Coturnix japonica: one gene and its partners. The protein of the gene in region 1 interacts with the protein of each later gene in a biochemical or structural test. Links are inferred from orthologs where the notes say so. Each region holds a gene or a part of one and is shown on either strand. Other genes may lie near its edges.

The links.
Region 2: the proteins of ESR1 (region 1) and SMARCE1 form a complex in vitro, tested with the Homo sapiens proteins (3 studies listed by BioGRID). The link is inferred for Coturnix japonica from reciprocal best matches to the Homo sapiens genes ESR1 and SMARCE1.
Region 3: the proteins of ESR1 (region 1) and NCOA7 form a complex in vitro, tested with the Homo sapiens proteins (2 studies listed by BioGRID). The link is inferred for Coturnix japonica from reciprocal best matches to the Homo sapiens genes ESR1 and NCOA7.
Region 4: the proteins of ESR1 (region 1) and NR0B2 form a complex in vitro, tested with the Homo sapiens proteins (2 studies listed by BioGRID). The link is inferred for Coturnix japonica from reciprocal best matches to the Homo sapiens genes ESR1 and NR0B2.

What each region holds. Positions count from the first base shown.
Region 1 is NC_029518.1:44,172,475-44,176,699, reverse strand, and holds the start of ESR1 (estrogen receptor 1), read right to left. Parts: upstream 2,801-4,225; coding exon 2,367-2,800; intron 1-2,366.
Region 2 is NC_029542.1:4,157,577-4,161,553, forward strand, and holds the start of SMARCE1 (SWI/SNF-related matrix-associated actin-dependent regulator of chromatin subfamily E member 1), read right to left. Parts: upstream 2,801-3,977; 5' UTR 2,683-2,800; intron 2,583-2,682; exon of another isoform or gene 2,564-2,582; intron 2,305-2,563; 5' UTR 2,261-2,304; coding exon 2,254-2,260; intron 1,713-2,253; coding exon 1,669-1,712; intron 1-1,668. UniProt on the Homo sapiens protein: Involved in transcriptional activation and repression of select genes by chromatin remodeling (alteration of DNA-nucleosome topology).
Region 3 is NC_029518.1:54,320,344-54,324,385, forward strand, and holds the start of NCOA7 (nuclear receptor coactivator 7), read right to left. Parts: upstream 2,801-4,042; 5' UTR 2,670-2,800; intron 2,421-2,669; exon of another isoform or gene 2,205-2,420; intron 2,040-2,204; exon of another isoform or gene 1,924-2,039; intron 1-1,923. UniProt on the Homo sapiens protein: Enhances the transcriptional activities of several nuclear receptors. Involved in the coactivation of different nuclear receptors, such as ESR1, THRB, PPARG and RARA.
Region 4 is NC_029538.1:1,621,961-1,626,158, forward strand, and holds NR0B2 (nuclear receptor subfamily 0 group B member 2), read right to left. Parts: upstream 2,801-4,198; 5' UTR 2,621-2,800; coding exon 2,095-2,620; intron 1,658-2,094; coding exon 1,377-1,657; 3' UTR 399-1,376; downstream 1-398. UniProt on the Homo sapiens protein: Transcriptional regulator that acts as a negative regulator of receptor-dependent signaling pathways. Specifically inhibits transactivation of the nuclear receptor with which it interacts.

The sequences.
Region 1 (4,225 bases):
AAATTTTTGTATGGCTTTGGTTTTAGTTTTTTACGCCTTTACCACTCATACTAGTATGTTACATCAGAAATTCATCATTTTGTTACTTAGACATCTTCAAATCTCCAAAATCTATGTGTTTGTTGCCAGATTACACTGCCTTATGTTCTCTTTTGAATTCAGGTGGGATTGGAACAGACAAATGAATAAAGCAAATTGGAAAATAATGCACTAAAATTTTTGAAAGAACTTGCTCTTGTACCTCATGATTAGATAATGAGATGTCTCCCAGACACCGAACACCTATTTAGAATATTTCTAGCATACTATTTATAACTGGTATACAAGAATAAGAACCTAACATTTAATTTTGTCAATATGACAACTTCCCAAATATGGTCTTTGTGAAATTTTTAAACAGCAAAGCTTTGTCTATTTAATCCTAACAGTACTATGCCTCGTAACAGACGATAATCATGGGGAGGACTTTGTTCCACATTTCCTATTACCATGTCAAATGTGCAATACAGAATCAAGGCCAGAAGAGGCCATTAAATCAGTCTTGTAACTCTGTATTCGGATAAACCACCTGCACAACCAAGATCATACATTCACCTAATTTCCACTGCTTTAAGCCTCATATATTATATACATCTAAAATGCATCTTGAAAGGACATGCCTATCCTTGACTGAAAACATCAGGACAATGGGAATACACCGCTGCCCTTTAATGCTTGTTGCAGTGCCTGAATGTTACTACTACAATGTATGCCATTTTTATTTTGAAGTGTCCCACCTCCGCTCACTGTTAGAAAATAAAATAATGCCATTTCCACAGTTCAGTTTTCATTTCCAACTGATTCTTGGTTTTTCTCCCTCCTCAAGTAAAAAGCCCTCACTTTAGCCCATTTCCTGCATGTGCATTTCAGCTTCACAAACTCACTGTTCAGCTGTTTACACACCACATGTCCCTTAAACGCTTTCTAACAGAGTTTTGCCCTGGATAATCATATTGAAAAATAAAAAAAAAATAAAAATAAAAATAAAATAAAAACAACATGGAATCTAGTGCAAAACACACTTTCACACCCACATCACTGTTAAACAATCCAGATACTCAATGTTCAAGTACATTAATTCCTCCTAGAGTTATTGCCTTCAGTTGCTCTAAAATACATTTTGTCTGAATCAGTTCAGCTAAGAGACATATTAGTTGGGCTGCCTGGCCTAACCGTTATCTTTTCACTTGTCTTTATTCCACTTGATCCCCAAAACCGATTAATCATTTGCAAAAAGTGCAATCACCATCTGTTTTTTTGGATCAGATTCTGCTACAAGATTATCTCAGGTTGCGTGACACTGTGTTTAATAACCTACATTGCTGTTCCCAGCAACAGTTAAGTCTGGCCTCGACAGGGAAAGGATAACCTGGTTTTATTTTTAGAGGGTCTCTCCATTTGTATAAAAATCACCTGTATTTCACAAATAAGCTGACATGGACAGCATTTAGGAGCTAACCGTTCACTTTAATTTGCTATAGTCCATTATTATATGCCAGTAAAAAATTAAGCTATTAACAGTGCACAAAGATTAACAATGTGAGTACTGGTGTGTTTGATTATATTTTCCTGGAAGCTACAGTTCTATCAGTTTCTCACACATATGTCAGAAATTAAGTATATGCTTTCACAATTTCCAGTGCGTATTAAAATTCTTCTATTGAAGGATAAATATAAATTTAAAAAGAAATCATATTTAAATTTATAAAAATTATTTTGAAATGCAGCATGCTAGATTTATGCTTAATATATATCAAAGTTTGATTAAAAATGCAAGGCACATAGCTCTTATTGCAGCTCATTAAAGTGGTTGCTGACTGAAATACTGTCATTGAATCAGTTCAAACAGTTTGATTTGGAAGGATATTGTGCCTGTGAACTACTTCCTATATAAGTCACTTATCCTGTAAAGGATACCAGAGGTAAGTAATACTCTTACTAGCAGCTAAGAGCTGAACAAACAGCCAATTGCACATTTTCAGTATGCTTCTAGACAGTAATTTTAATATACTGCAACAAGGAGATTGTTTGCCACTCCTTAATCAATTATGATTTCATGTTTTCCCAGGAAACATTTACACTCATTATCTAATTTGTTTCCCATTTACTTACAGTTTTCATTATTTACAGATCACAGGCACAGTAAGCTGTGAGTTACAGTTTTGTTTTATCCTCTGCTATTTTTATGGTCCCGATATCATGGAAGATTCCACAAGATTACACAGTCCTTTACACAAAAATGAAAGTGTAGGGCAGACATATTTCAATATTCTGATTTCTCAGCATAGCTGCTTAAAGAAGAAAGAGAAATTCTCTGTTGCACTTACCTGTAGAAGGCTGGAGGAGCAGTTTCCCTCATCCCGAAGCTGCCCTGTTCGTTTTCAAGGTAGTAGGGTACCTGCTGGCTGTGGTGATGGATGAAGGGTGAGAGCTGGGGTGCCGTTTGCAAGAACACCACTGGGCTTGGTGGGACATTGTTCAGAGAGTGAAATCCTGCCAGGCTGCTGGACCCAAAAGATTCAGAAGTAGGGGCATAACTGAGTGTAGTAGAGCCGTACACTGGAGCGGTAGTACCAAAATCGTAGGTGGCCCCTTCTGGGTAGTTAAAAACTCCTGTCTTGTTGCTTTCCACGTACATGTCGCTGAGCGATCGTTCCAGGGGAATCTTCAGCTGAGGTCTGCTCAGAGTCTCCAGTTCAGTGCCTTGAATCTGGTGCAGCAGGGTAACTCCAGAGGCTTTGGTGTGAAGGGTCATGGTCATTGCTAATGGCAGGGAGCAAGGAACATATCTGCTTTTACTGTCAACAGCAAGATCGGCAGCTGGCAGTCCACCTAAAAAAAACACCAGAACCTATTCTGAGGCTCAGCAGAAATCATGTTAAAGCAGCACTACACAGGTATTCCTCTGATCTCGGCGAGGAGGAGTATACAAACAAATGCAGGGTGAGCACTGGAAAGGCACATTCTCCCTCTCCCTCTAACTTTTGAGAACTCCTCATCTGCTCTAATATGCGTTACAAGGTGCTGGCTGCAAGCCAGGGGCTCTTGCCTTGTGCCGACGCTGATTTAAACATCACTTCAGAAACAATTAGTTTTGGAGGTACACCAAACAATTGTCCCACTAAATGTTACTTTATTCTTGCTAGTCATTTAATTTTTCACTGCAGGGCAGCCAGCACTCCACAGCAGCTAACGGGAAAGGACGCTGAAATCAGACCAGAAAGACTAGTCCAGTGGTCAGCCAGATTACTGCCTTTTATTTCCTCAGCAGGCTCCAATCTATCTGTGCTTATCTCTCCCTGTTTGATTCATTTTCATGTTTGCTAGAAATATGTAATGTGTACATTGTAATGACCCTGGATAGGACTATGCTGTAACTGAGATATGGCAAAGCAAAATGCATGTGCAAGCGCATGCATCTGTGTGTGTAACAAGTCTCTGTCAACAAAACTAGCTAACAGAAATTAAAGAATGTAAAAGATTTGTGTAGGACAAAAGGTTTATAACAAGCTTTATCAGTAACAGTGACCCAAACTAGTGAAGTGAAAATTTACATTAAAAAAAGTGAGGAAAAAATTTAGATTAGCCCATAAATTCCTGTCTGTTTCTGTTTTACCTTGTAAAACAATGAAGCAAAGCATCTTTCAGACTTTGCCATGGTAAGACCTTAGAAACTAGGAAGAAAGATTTCAGCGCACAAAAAAGGAATACAGGATTTTTTATTTTATTTTTTTCTATTCCCACAAACAAAAGCTCAGCAAGCTTAGATTTTGCTATCAACTTGAAAATAAAGTACTTGATTGGAATCAGTGTTAAAGTAAACTGAAATAATTCTCAAAGTTATCTTTAGGGGAAAAAAAAAAAAAAAAAAAAAAAAAGGTGGAGAAAGGACATAATGAAAAGGTGTGGCATGCATACCTCATCTTGCAATCTCATCCCAAATAATTTTAACTTTTCACAAACCACATCTCCTGAACCAGCTAAATGAAAACCTTCAGAAACCGTCCCAATTTCTCTAGCATCATTGTTGTGGTCTGCAATTCACTCAGTTAAACAGGTTAATGTTGACCCTAAACACATTAATATATGGACTTGAGTTAGTATGATTTGAATACGAGCAAAGCCTACACTAAACAACTCCACAGTTATTCAATGCAACCTTTGAAAAAATGCAAGAAACCAGAAA
Region 2 (3,977 bases), on another chromosome or scaffold:
CAAAGCAGCGCGCAGTATGGGGGCAAAAATTCCCCAAGTCAACATTTACTACAACAGCAAAAATCTCTGCCTCCTCCTCTTGCCATCCTTCTGCCTCCTAACGAACACGATGTTGCCAGCAAACAGGGTAAAAAAACAACGTGAGTGTCTCAAAGCACCATCCGTGCAACAGTAGCAGGAGCAGAGGACTTCACTGGTGGTCTGCAGAATCAAAACACTCTGGAGAACTGTAAGGATTAGAAAAACCAAGAGAGGACGATGCACGGAGCTGCCGCTCTGTTAGGAGGCCGCTGGCTGACGGAGCTGAAGAACCGCTGCAATGCAATGTGCAGGTTAGAAACCACAAACTAATCTTAGGAACAACCAAACACATCTTTGTCCGATCTTGCAGGCGGATCAATTTGTTCTCACCTCCTGGAACATGGAGAAAATCTAATTTCCATGCACACAGATGTGGGTAAGCAGGGATGTAATCAAACACCACAAGGTTCACTGTCTCCCCTTGGTTGTCAGTCTCACTCCTGCACTTCAGCTACTCTCTTTTCTTTGTCCAGAATTCAGATGGTGTTGGAAATAAAGCAGACCAGCCAGGTAAGGGTGATGGAGCGCTGCACCAGCACTCACTGCAGCACCACGCCAGGTTCATGCGTTACCTGCACTGTCTCACACTGGAGTCCCACTTTGTTAAAACCCATTTCAGCAGTCTTTGAAAGCAATGTGCTCACTGTACCCATTCTACATCACGGCTATAAAAGCATCAACATGAACCTGGTTTTGTGTGCACTGCTGACAAAGTCATAGCTTGGCTAAAGGATGCACCACCTCAGTATTCACCCACACTGTGCCACAGGAGAGATCCGCTGCCATCACATTCCTCCTAAGAGCACAAATCTATTGAGCTGTGTGAAATGACACATGCTAAAGAGCATCCTTACTCGTTCATTTGTTCCACTCATTAATATTTTCTCCCATGAGTGCATTGCTTCCAAAACAAGAGCTGCCTTTGCTTTCAGCTGCTTTTCCAACCACAGCACGAGTATTTCAAGATACTTTTATACATGCAGGAATACAACTGGACATCACTGCCACGTTTTCTTAACTGGCATTCCATACCACTTTACTGTAAGTTAAGAGATTTGCCATGCAGCAGACCCCAAAATATCAGCATTTTCATGAAATCTGAGTACGATTACCAGCACGGAGGGTCTCCATTTTCTGACCAAATATAACAGAAATCTGCATCCCATTGAAAATGTGTCAGAAGCACAAAAACGTGCCCTGTTTTTGCTCATCATTTGTGTAAAAGTTGAGCAGGGAGTCTGAGAATGAACCGTATCGACTTGGCCTTCAATATTCCAGCATCCCAATGGGCAGCATTGGCTGCATGAGTTCAATGGCCACACAGGTAAATAATCCCAGTGACTGCTGATTAAAAAAGGGCCACATCCTGCAGATGTTTAAGATGAAACCAGTTTGTTCAGCTTCTTTTTTGCAAACTGTTCTGAAATTGGGATGACTTTAAACAAGGAATATCATACTAACAATGAAATACAACAAGCGTGCTTTTCCAACACAGGAAGGTGCTGCGTCTCCACTGTTACGGCTCTGGTAAGTCACTAACAGCTCTGCTACAGGATCTGTGTTAATGAGAAAAAGCACTGTACTTACGGTTGCAGGAGCTGGGGTAGGAGGTGGAGCATAAGATGGCCTTTCTGTTAAAATATAAACGTAAGCAAAGAAAATCCTTGAAAATGTGAATGAGTTCTTTAAGAGGCATCCATTGTGGCAAATGCTTTAATGGGATTTACTAAAAGACAGACCCAGCTCAAAGACTTTGGAGCACACAGCAAAGGAGAGACTAAAAAAAAAATCAAACCAAAACCCCACATCATTGCTACATTTCTGGTCTTTTATTTAGGCAGATGAAGGAACCTGAGATACGTTTACAGGCACATCGGTTAAGAAGAGGGTAAGGAAACAAAACAAAACAGGGAAGCAGGACTCAGCAGAAGCTGGGACAGATTTGCTGTGAGACCAAACGCTTGGACTGGGCTGCAGCAGCTCCTGAGAGCTCCAGGTGGGCACCAGGAACTGCTCCGTGCAGCCCGAGCTGCAGTGAGAGCTGACGGCACAGCAACAGACACCACGGGAACCAGGAACGGCTGCTCTGTGCACAAGGCCCACAGGCAGCGCCCCAGAGCCCGCGGAACCGGATCCGAAATTCACCAAAGGAAGAAAAGCCCGAAAACTTACTTGACATTTTGACAGGCAAATTTTCAGCCACCTGACGTTACATTCGTGTTTCTGAAAGACAAAAGAACAACCGTCCCATTAATGCCACCCCGCTCAGCCCAGCGGCCATTTCACGGCGCTTCTCCCGCAGGAACTTCACGTTCCTCCGCCGTTCGGTTCCGTTCGGTTCCGTTCGGTGCCGCTCGGTTCCGTTCGGTTCCAGCTCGTGGCTCCACACGGACCCTCACACACCGGCCCGGCCCGTGTAACCGCGGAGGCCGCGCCGCCGGGAAGAGGCCGCGAGCGGAGCCGCCCCGCGGGCAGCGCCCACCTGAGCCCCTCGGCACCGCGATGAGCCGCCAACCCGAGACCGGAACCGAGCCCAGAACCGAGCCCAGAACCGATCCCGGCACCGAGCCCCCCCGCCCGTCCCGCCCCGCACACACGCACCGCTCCGCAGCGCCGCTCCTTTGTTCCTGCCCGGGCCGAGCCGGCTGCGAACACCGCGCCTGCGCGCCCCGCTCCGCACTTTCGCCACGGCCTCCGCCCCGCTCCCTCCCGCGGGTGTCCGAGTAGCGCGGGGTTGATCCGTCCGTCCGCCCCGCTCACCTCGGAGCCGCTGTCAGACCGAGGGCCGCCCCGCGCCGCGAGGGGTGAGAAGGAAGAGCGGAAGGCGTTGTGGCGAATCTGCGGGGAGCGCTGCCTCACGGGGCTGGGGCGGAGGCGGCGCGCGGCGTTGCCGCGCTCTGGGGCCGCGTGAGGCGCGAGATGGAGCGTCGAGTGGCGGGAAAGGAGAACATGGCGGGAAAGGGAGAAAGCGGCTGTGAGTGACCATGAACTGCAGGAATAGTCTGTAATACACAGAGAACTGCAGGAATAGTGTCTATAATATACATAGAACTGCAGGAATAGTGTCTGTAATGCACATAGAACTGCAGGAATCGTCTGTAATGCACATAGACAGGGCTTGTGTGACACCAGAGGGGATAGAAGGGAGAGGAAGCTGGCTGTGATACCACAGCGCGGCCTGCTCTGCTCTGAAGTAACGACACGGACATGGACAGATGGAGATTTCCATTCAATAACACAGGGAATATAATGATGGGAAGATCCGCCAGCAGCCAGACCTGCACCTTGGGGTCCGACAGCGGCACCTGGGCACAACGTCCTTAAGGAGGAGGTAAGAAAATACTTAGAGGTGAAAAGTAACCCTGGTTTGGCTTGGGTTTGACCACATTCATTACATTGTGTTGTACGTTGCATTCAGTTGTGCTTGGTGTCGATAGCATTAAACATGCACAAGTCGCTGCAGTGTTCAGTGCAGTTCCATACTGATCATTCTGGATCGTTATTTATTGTTTCCTTTGCTTTAGTTGGTTGGTTTTTCTATTTATTTCTCATTTCTGTTTGCCTGTGCTCCGTTTCCATGTTACTCTATGTGCTCTTACTGCTGTACAAGGTTTGTTTATAGCGGGTTGTTCAGGTCAGGAGCCCTGAACATGTTTAATGATCATAAACCAGCTTTTGTTTGTGCTCTCTGCCACCCAGTCCCCCTCAGGACGGACACACAAAGCTCAGGTTTTATTGTTTTTATTGTTGTACCGCTATTTACTTTGGTAAGTTTGTATCCCTGTTTAAAGTGCCTCAAAGCGATTAAAACTTAGTTTAAATTCAAGTATTGTAAAACATACAGAGTATAGCACACGAAAAAAGCTGCATAGTGAAAATGCCAGGAGAGGCCGTTA
Region 3 (4,042 bases), about 10 Mb from region 1:
TTCAAAATGAATAAACAGTAGATGTCTTTTGGCTGCAGCTCACAGCTGCTTACACCTGCTTGATGTTTCCATGTGGCTTTCCACCCACAAATTGAAGGGTTTGAAAAGAAAAGGAAGAAAAATATTCCCATAACATGCTTGATGCGTCAAACTAAAACAATGTGATTATAGTGGGAATATAATCCCCTCTGGTTTGCTTACAATTGTCTCAGGAATAAAGCTAGGGAGAAATGTCTCGGGAATAAGGAAGTCTGATCTAAAATAATAAGTCTAAAAACTCTATTCTCCTACCTTTATTTTCCTTCTTACCAAAGGAGGCCCCTTAGTGAGCCCTCTTGGTGCTGATTTCACTCCTCAGCTGTAGTTACATTTCCTCTTTCAGGGAAAGTGATACCAGCCCACATGAAGGCCCTGAAGCAGCAGCGCAATCTCTGTGTCACACACACAGACAGAGCAGACCTTGAGACTAAGTGCCCTCACAGCAGGGAGCAAGAAATGAGAAGCACAGAGGCCAGTACACACCCCCACCCTCAGCGCTGTACCAGCCAGCAGATGCTTCACCAAAACAAGAGCTGAGCCCGCAAAACCTCGGACGTGTACAGATTATTGATTGTGGGAAGGAAGAGATTTGTCACTCTGTCACTCCTTGCACGGTCACAGCAGATTCACTCAAAGCAAAGGGGAAATTAGTCCCTTCATCCTCTATTTGCATCGTAATTATTTTCAGCAGAAATTTCCAGCTGCCTGAAGCAGCAGGTCCTTGCATCAGATCACGCTCCAGAGGATCGCACTAATTTCCACCTTTGACATGCTCACCCAGATGGGGTGGCTGCAGGGACCCCCTGCAGATGCTGTACATATCTAGAGCATTTTATACAGTCTTATTAATAACCTTATAAAGAAATGTTATTCTCAAACACAAATCACTTTTCAATGAATCACTTAAAAGAACAGACCTACACATAAGCTGTCCACTGAAGAGAGGTCAGACCCATAACCTAGCCAAGTATTTACAGCGGCAACCCCTGGCCAACCTCAGTCTTCTCTTTCAAAACCCTGGATACAAAAAGCAAAATAAAACAGTATTCCTACCCTGCCAGATAAGTACTTGTCCAATCAATTCTAAGTCATTTCATCTCCAAAGGGAATCATTTATCATTTCAGCAATAGACGAGCAAATAAAAATCGGAACGTGGCCATTGACCCAGTGAAAACATAAGAGAACAGCCCACTGGGCAAAGGCAAGAGCTGTGACTCAGAGACCTGACTTTGCAACTTAGATAAGACTCATTTTTCAGAATACCTGATTATTATTTTTTTAATGGCATAATAAACAACAACAGTACTGAATTTAACCCAAGTACAGAATTTCCATCAAACTAGAGAATTTGATTCATTAAAAAGAAAGAAGAAAGAAAAAAAGAAAAGTCATTGTAAAGTATGTTATGTCTGCAAGCAGTCCCAACAACTCCACTAAAGATCTTCACAGAACCCAAGTTACTTATGGGTTTTGATCCTTAAAATAGTTTGCTTATATTTACGAACATTATCCTGAATAAGGACAACCTTGCAAGGACAACAGAGAATGCAGTCGCTTGACTTATGTATCTTTTACCTTGCCTTACATCTGTTGCTGATAATGTAGCTTCCATTCAGAAACTATATAGGCACATACACTTTTCTTTCTATTTTCTATTGTGTTCTTCATTAATTTCCTGAAGTCTGAGTACGTACACACAAACTTACACATAGGCACATCCAAAACCCAATATAAACATAATACAATTTCCACACTACGGAAATACTTGCTTATACAACAGCTTGGAAGAGCTCTCCAGTCTGCATTTTAATCATCCAACTACAGGCACTTAGTCAGGAGCACAGCATCCTGCAGCAAGCCATAATCAATTAACGAGCACCTACCCGTCCTTCAAGTCCATTACTACGCATTAGCACAAGACATGCACGATGATTTAATGGGCGAACGGTAACAGCGGCGTGTAAAGTAAACACGCGGTAGAAGGCTGCCGTGAGCATTCATCACCCGATTCCATCACCTGGAGGCCGCATCGGTCAGTACCACACACTGCCAGCAGCTCGCAGCTCAGCCCCAGGGCCGGGCACCAACGCGGATGCCGAGGGTGAGGTTAGCTGCGCACACACAGATGGACGGACGGACGGACGGACAACAGTCACCGCCGCACCTCCAGCCGTGCTTCCTAGTCACGGTCATCAGACACTGCAAGTTAACAGGGAGAGCTCGGAACATTCCAGTAAATCACGCGAGGTCTAGGGAAAAAATCCGCTCGGAAGGCTGAAGGCCATCAGCAGAACGACTCGTTCCGCTCCGCTCCTCCAGCCGCCAAACTACGGGTCCGCAGAGCGAGCCCCGCAGGCAGCGTCGCTCAGCCCGGCGGGCACACGGCCACCGCAGCACCGCGAGCACGCAGCCCCCAGCCCGCAAAGCAACGAGACGCAGAGCGGAGGGCGGCGCAGCCCGGCTCCGGGCGACATCCGCACGGCAGCTGAGCGGCCGCCCCCGCTCCCTCCCGCCCCGCAGCACCGCCGGGCCCCGGCCCCCGCCCCGCGCCTCCTCCGCACGCCGGGCAGTGACCCCGCGGCTTAACGGCGGATGCGTCCCGACCTCCCTTCCCCGCGACCCAGCGCACCTGCAAGGAGGGCGAGCGGCGGCGGCATGGCGACCGCGGAGATAGCACCGCTCCCCGCTCGGCCGGAGCAGGACCAGCCCCACCGCTCCCGAGCGGCCCGCCTGGGCTCGGCCTGGCCCGCGGCTCCGCCCCACCGCGCCGAGCCGCCCCCGGCCCGCCCCGGACCCGGGGGAGGGGGCGCGGTCGGCCCCGTGGGTGGTGCGGGGCTGAGTCCGGGTAGGGGTGCAAGGTGGGAATCGGGAGATGCTCAGGGCTCTCAGTGCCGCCAGCACCGTACGGGGAAAGGGTCTTCCTCGGCGTGACGGAAAGGCTTTACCCCAGTTTAGTTATTTTTAAGGGTAATACTAAAGCACCGCTTTTGGAAAGCCAGGTTTGCAGATGCTTTTACACCCACTGGAAACTGAAATGTCTGTAAGCTTGCTGTTGTTTGCACATCCACCGCATGCAGGTTTCCCCACAAGCACTCCACAAACCCCCCAAAAACCCATCCAAGTTACCAGAAACTCTGCTCCTTTACCTTAGGTAGCTCTGGATAACCCTACCAGACCTTAATGGCAGCCTGAATGAGACCTCACTTTCTGTTCCCTCTTCTAGTCAGTAAGCAGCTGTGAAAGACAGGAACTCCAGGGGAAAGGCCTTCCACATCGCAGCACCACTAAATCCCAAAGTCTGCAAGACAGAGGTCCATAGACAGACAGATACCTGCAGAAACAGCAACGCAACTTAATGTAACACAGAATGTGTTTGTGTGCATGCAGATGGTAAAAGACCGTGAAACAATAAAACAGCAATTGGTATGCAAGGACATCCAGATAAGAATCATTTTTCTTAGTAGTTACGTTGTTAGTCAACATCAAAGCTTGTTGGATTTAAAGGGAAGTAACTGGTATAGGCTTTTTTTCTTCTTTAAATAGTCTAACAACTGCTTAAAGATCCCTTTCAAAATCATCTGTGTTGATTATGGAGCTTATAAATAAAAGGGAAACCAACTTTTTACATGGTCTGGCAGTGACAGGACAAAGGGGGATTGTTTTAATTAAAAGAAGAGAGATCATTAAGACAGAGTGCCTAGGCCCTGACACAGGTGCCCAGAGTGGCTGTGATGCCCCATCCCTGGAGATGCTCAAGGCCAGGTTGGATGTGGCCCTGAGCAGCCTGAGCTGCTGGGTGGTAGCCCTGCCCATGGCAGAAGTTGGGGCTGGATGGTCTTTTAGGTCCCTTCCAGCCTAAGCCATTCTGTGACTGTAGGATTCTATGATTTCAAGTATGAATGCAGCTCTCGTACGGATGTGCAGCCATCTCCCAGATGAATTTAAATGTCAGTGACACCCTATTCTAAGATGTAGGAGTTTACTCTCCATCAAGCACATCAC
Region 4 (4,198 bases), on another chromosome or scaffold:
GCACGGATGGGCAGCACACAGTTCTCCCAGCAGGCTGCTGTTCAAACACGGTGTGTTTATGGTGGTGGGGAGCCAGGAGGCTTTGTATGGCTGTTCTCCTGTGGGCTGAGGGCTGTGTGTGCACATCCAGGTGAGTCAGCACCAACCTCCTGCATCAGCACCTCCAGGTGTGGCTGTGTGCGTGAAGGAAGGTGCAGCACAGACAGGCTGCAGTTGTGCTGCCTCTGCAGGTTTCAGTGCACAGAGCAGTGTGTGCCCAGCACAGCTCATGGGGCTGCATTGCAATGCTCCCCTATGATTCCCTATGATGCTCCATCCCTGCATTCAGGTGTCCTTCCCACACTGTACCTCCAACAGCTATTTCTACAAGTCCAAAATGCCAGAAATATAACAAAAAATCACCAAAATGTGACACGTTTTTATTAAAAAAATAATTTACTGCATCTTATGTACAAATCAAATGAAGGTCCGCTCATTAAATACTGACATCAGTGACAAAAGCTGCAGGCAGGAGAAGCGAGCTTTCCTACTATGTTGAACCAGCTGGAACTCAAGGCAGGGATGTTTGTTCAGTGTCTGTAGCTCAGTGTGTTCCTGAGCCATTCCAAGTATTGCCATATATATATTGAGGTGTATAGGGAGGATGAAGTGGTGTTCATGCAGCGTTATTTGCCGTACGTTTCACTGCTCTTAGGTAATCCAATCTGTGAGCAATCCTGTTGCAGCTCATGGCATCGTGGGGAGGAGATGCGATGTGATGAGAGGCAGGAGGCGTTCATGAAGCTGGCTGCACGCCCTGTAAGATCTGATGCTTCTCCCTCCTGCTGTCTGAGGAGGATTCTTGGTGGCTGTCTGTGAGATTTCATGCACAGCAGACACTGGCTGATACTTAAAGATCTAATTCCTTACGGCTTGCACCTGGTTGTACTCTACAAGTGATACCACCGAAGATACTCAGCACCCCTAAATACCACTATCAGCACAGAGCCATCACGGGCAGCAAGTTGAGGTCCAACCTCATCTCATGGAGTTAACAAAACACACATTGATTTTAATTGAACTGAGGATTCACTGAGATATAAAAAGCCTGGAGCAGGCTCTAACTCAGTCTGCTCTGTGTCACAGGGCTGGCCTGCTTGCTAGAAACTCAGTACCACCAGCCACACACACTCACATTCCTCAAAACAGACTGGCAGAGGTGGAGCAGCCATGCTGAATCAAGGCTGCTTTCCTTTATGCTCTGAGCCCTACAGCCTAGAGAGAGGCACACGCAAAGCCCTGTGGAGCTGAGTGCCTGACTGCCTGCTCCACAGTCCTCCCTGCTGCCCTGCCAGGTGTTGTTGAGCACCCCCAGGGCTGTGGCAGAGCACAGCAGCTCACAGAGCCACGCGTGGTGAAGGAGCCGGCTGCCAGCTGGTGATTTCATACAGCATATCCACGATGAGCTCGACAATGTCTGCGTTGCCAATGATGGGTCGGAAGAAGAGGTCTGTGATGAGGGCAGGAGGGATGGATTTCAAGGTGGAGGTGATGAGTAAAATGAGGGTAAAGCGGTCCTGGTCCTTGGGGTGTAGGATCTGCACAACTTCCTGAAGCGCTCGCTCGGCTTCCCGCTGGAGGCTCTCGATGTACAGGGAGGCTGTCAGCCCTGGGACATCTGCCAAGAGAAAGGAGGGAAGGATGTGAAGAGGAAGGCTGGAAAACAGCTCGAGGTTTCTCCCATCTCTCTCCCCGTATCTTGGAGAAAAACCTCAGAGCCATTAACAACATGTATTTCAGGGCTGTTGCTTTGAGGGAGTAAATACAGCTAATGAAGCAAACATGGGCTTTGTAGAGTAAGACCCAGGGTTCTTTGATTGCAAGGTAAGGAGGTCTCTGCTTTTAAACACTACATTTTCAGTATCCCTCCTCCCTGCTTCCCAGAGGTAAACTGCATTGCTGGTGCTAATGATGTGAGCAGCTCTCCCTGCTCTCACACACACTTTTGCCCAAACTCTGAGCGACTCCAAGCCAAGAGCAGTGTTTTTAAATGCTAACTCATGCAGGGCTTTCTCTTGCCACCAGCAGGCAGAGCTGGGAGGGTTGAACACTCACCAGGATTAAAGAGAATGGCTCCCTTCAGGTAGGCGTATTCTTTGGGGCTCAAGTCCAGGCTCCAGAAGGTGTTGAGGCTGCACTGCAGCCACTGCACAGCGGCCAGCATGGGCTGAGTCCACTCAGGCTCCTGCCTTTTGCTTTGGCCATCGAGGAGGATCTTCTCAAGCATGCTGGGGGCTGGGGTCTCCATCACCTCAAATGTCACCGTCTCCTGGACCAGCCCCAGGAGGAAGAGGGGGACCCAGCAGCTGTCCAGCAGCAGGAGCTGGTCCCCTCGAGGCAGCAGGTGGAAGGAAGGGAGGTTTTTCATGAAGCTGATGGTTTTCACCAACACGTCGGATGCAGCTTGGCAGGTGATATGGGGTGTCCGGAGGCAGACCGTCCAGCGCTGGTGGCACAGGCAGCGTTGGTGAGGTGGGCTGTGGCTCAGGTTCTGGCTGAGGAGGGTGTAGAGAATGGCTGGGTGTTTGTCTTCATGCTGGCACTGACACCTCTCGCAGTCCATGTCTATGCTGCTGGTCATCAGAGCAGAACTGGGAGCCCCGGATCCTCTGTGAAACTCCGCAGATGGGAGAGACCTGTAAGTTTCCTCCCCGTCTCAATCTGGGAGTGACCTGTCCTCCCAGCTCTGCCAGCACATGGCTGTTCAAACAAGCTCTTATAAGGCTCGGTCACAAGTGGAACACCCCTTCCCAGCCTTGACCGCTCCGTGATTAAGCGGTCCTCATTAAAGAAGAAAAAAAACAACAAAAAAAAAAAGCCACCAACCCCAGCTGTCCCCAGACTGATTGGCTGGAACCAGCAGGATCTCAGCATGGCGTCAATGGCCGTTTTCTCAATGAAACCCCAGCAGGGGCAGCGGGTTGGGCAGCCTTATCACAATTACCCAAACAGTATAAACAAAGTCATTAACCCGGGCTGTACCATGGCACCAAGGCCCCACGCTGCAATCAGGTTGTGCTATCTGGCAGCTGTCGCTGCCAAGGAGTTCACACACACACACACATACACACACACACATACACACACAGGGTGTTCGTCTGAAGCGAGGACCCCATGGCAAATGGCCTTGGAAAGAGCAACCTGGAAGTCATTTTATCAGCAGCTGTTTGCCTAACCTTGTTGACAGGAGATCGGTGTTGTTGCAGTTAAGGAAGGTGGTGAACTGAAAGACTAAACCTAAAGGCAGCAGCCCATTGTGCTGAAGGAGTAATGCTGGGTAGGTGAGAGGCAGGTTTATAGGTTTTTACCTTGAATTGCTCTGGAATTTGTATGTTTTGATCAGCATTAGTTAAATGACAGCACACAATTATGGATTCCAGTGGGGCCTGTGAGGAATTCCTCACACAGGGGGTGCCTGGTGAACCCTGTGAGGATGGGAACAAGTGATTTGGCAGGACACGGGGAAATGGTTTTAAGTTAAAAGAGGGAAGATTTAGGTTGGATGTTAGGGGGAAGTTCTTCACTAGGAGAGTGGTTAGGCCCTGGAACAGGCTGCACAGGGAGGTTGTGGATGCCCCGTCCTTGGAGGTGTTCAAGGCCAGGTTGGACGGGGCCCTGGGCAACCTGATCTATGGGGTCTCTATGGGGTCTCTATGGGGTCTATGGGGTCTATGGGGTCTCTATGGGAATCTATGGGGTCTATGGGGTCTCTATGGGGTCTATGGGGTCTATGGGGTCTCTATGGGGATCTATGGGGTCTCCTGGGCAACCTGATCTAGTAAATGTGTATGTTTTATGGCCCTGCCAGGCAGGGGGTTGGAGCTACATGATCCTTGAGGTCCCTTCCAACCCGGGTCATTCTGTGATTGATTCTGTGATTTAAGGGCACGCAGCTCTTGGTGCACAAATGGGATGGAACTGATGGCCACACTGATGGCTTTTCACCAAAAAAACACCCATCTACCTGCATTTGTCGGCCAACACAAGTCAGCCTGGGGAAGCGGCAGCACCTGCTGATTGATTTAATGGAGCAATAGGAACCCTATGGGGATAAGGACCACTCACTCTAATGCACACAGCTCTCAGTGCAATGGAGTGAACCCAGCAATGAGGCCTACAGCAGCCACAGGGACCAGCATAGCCTGTCCATACTGCAGAT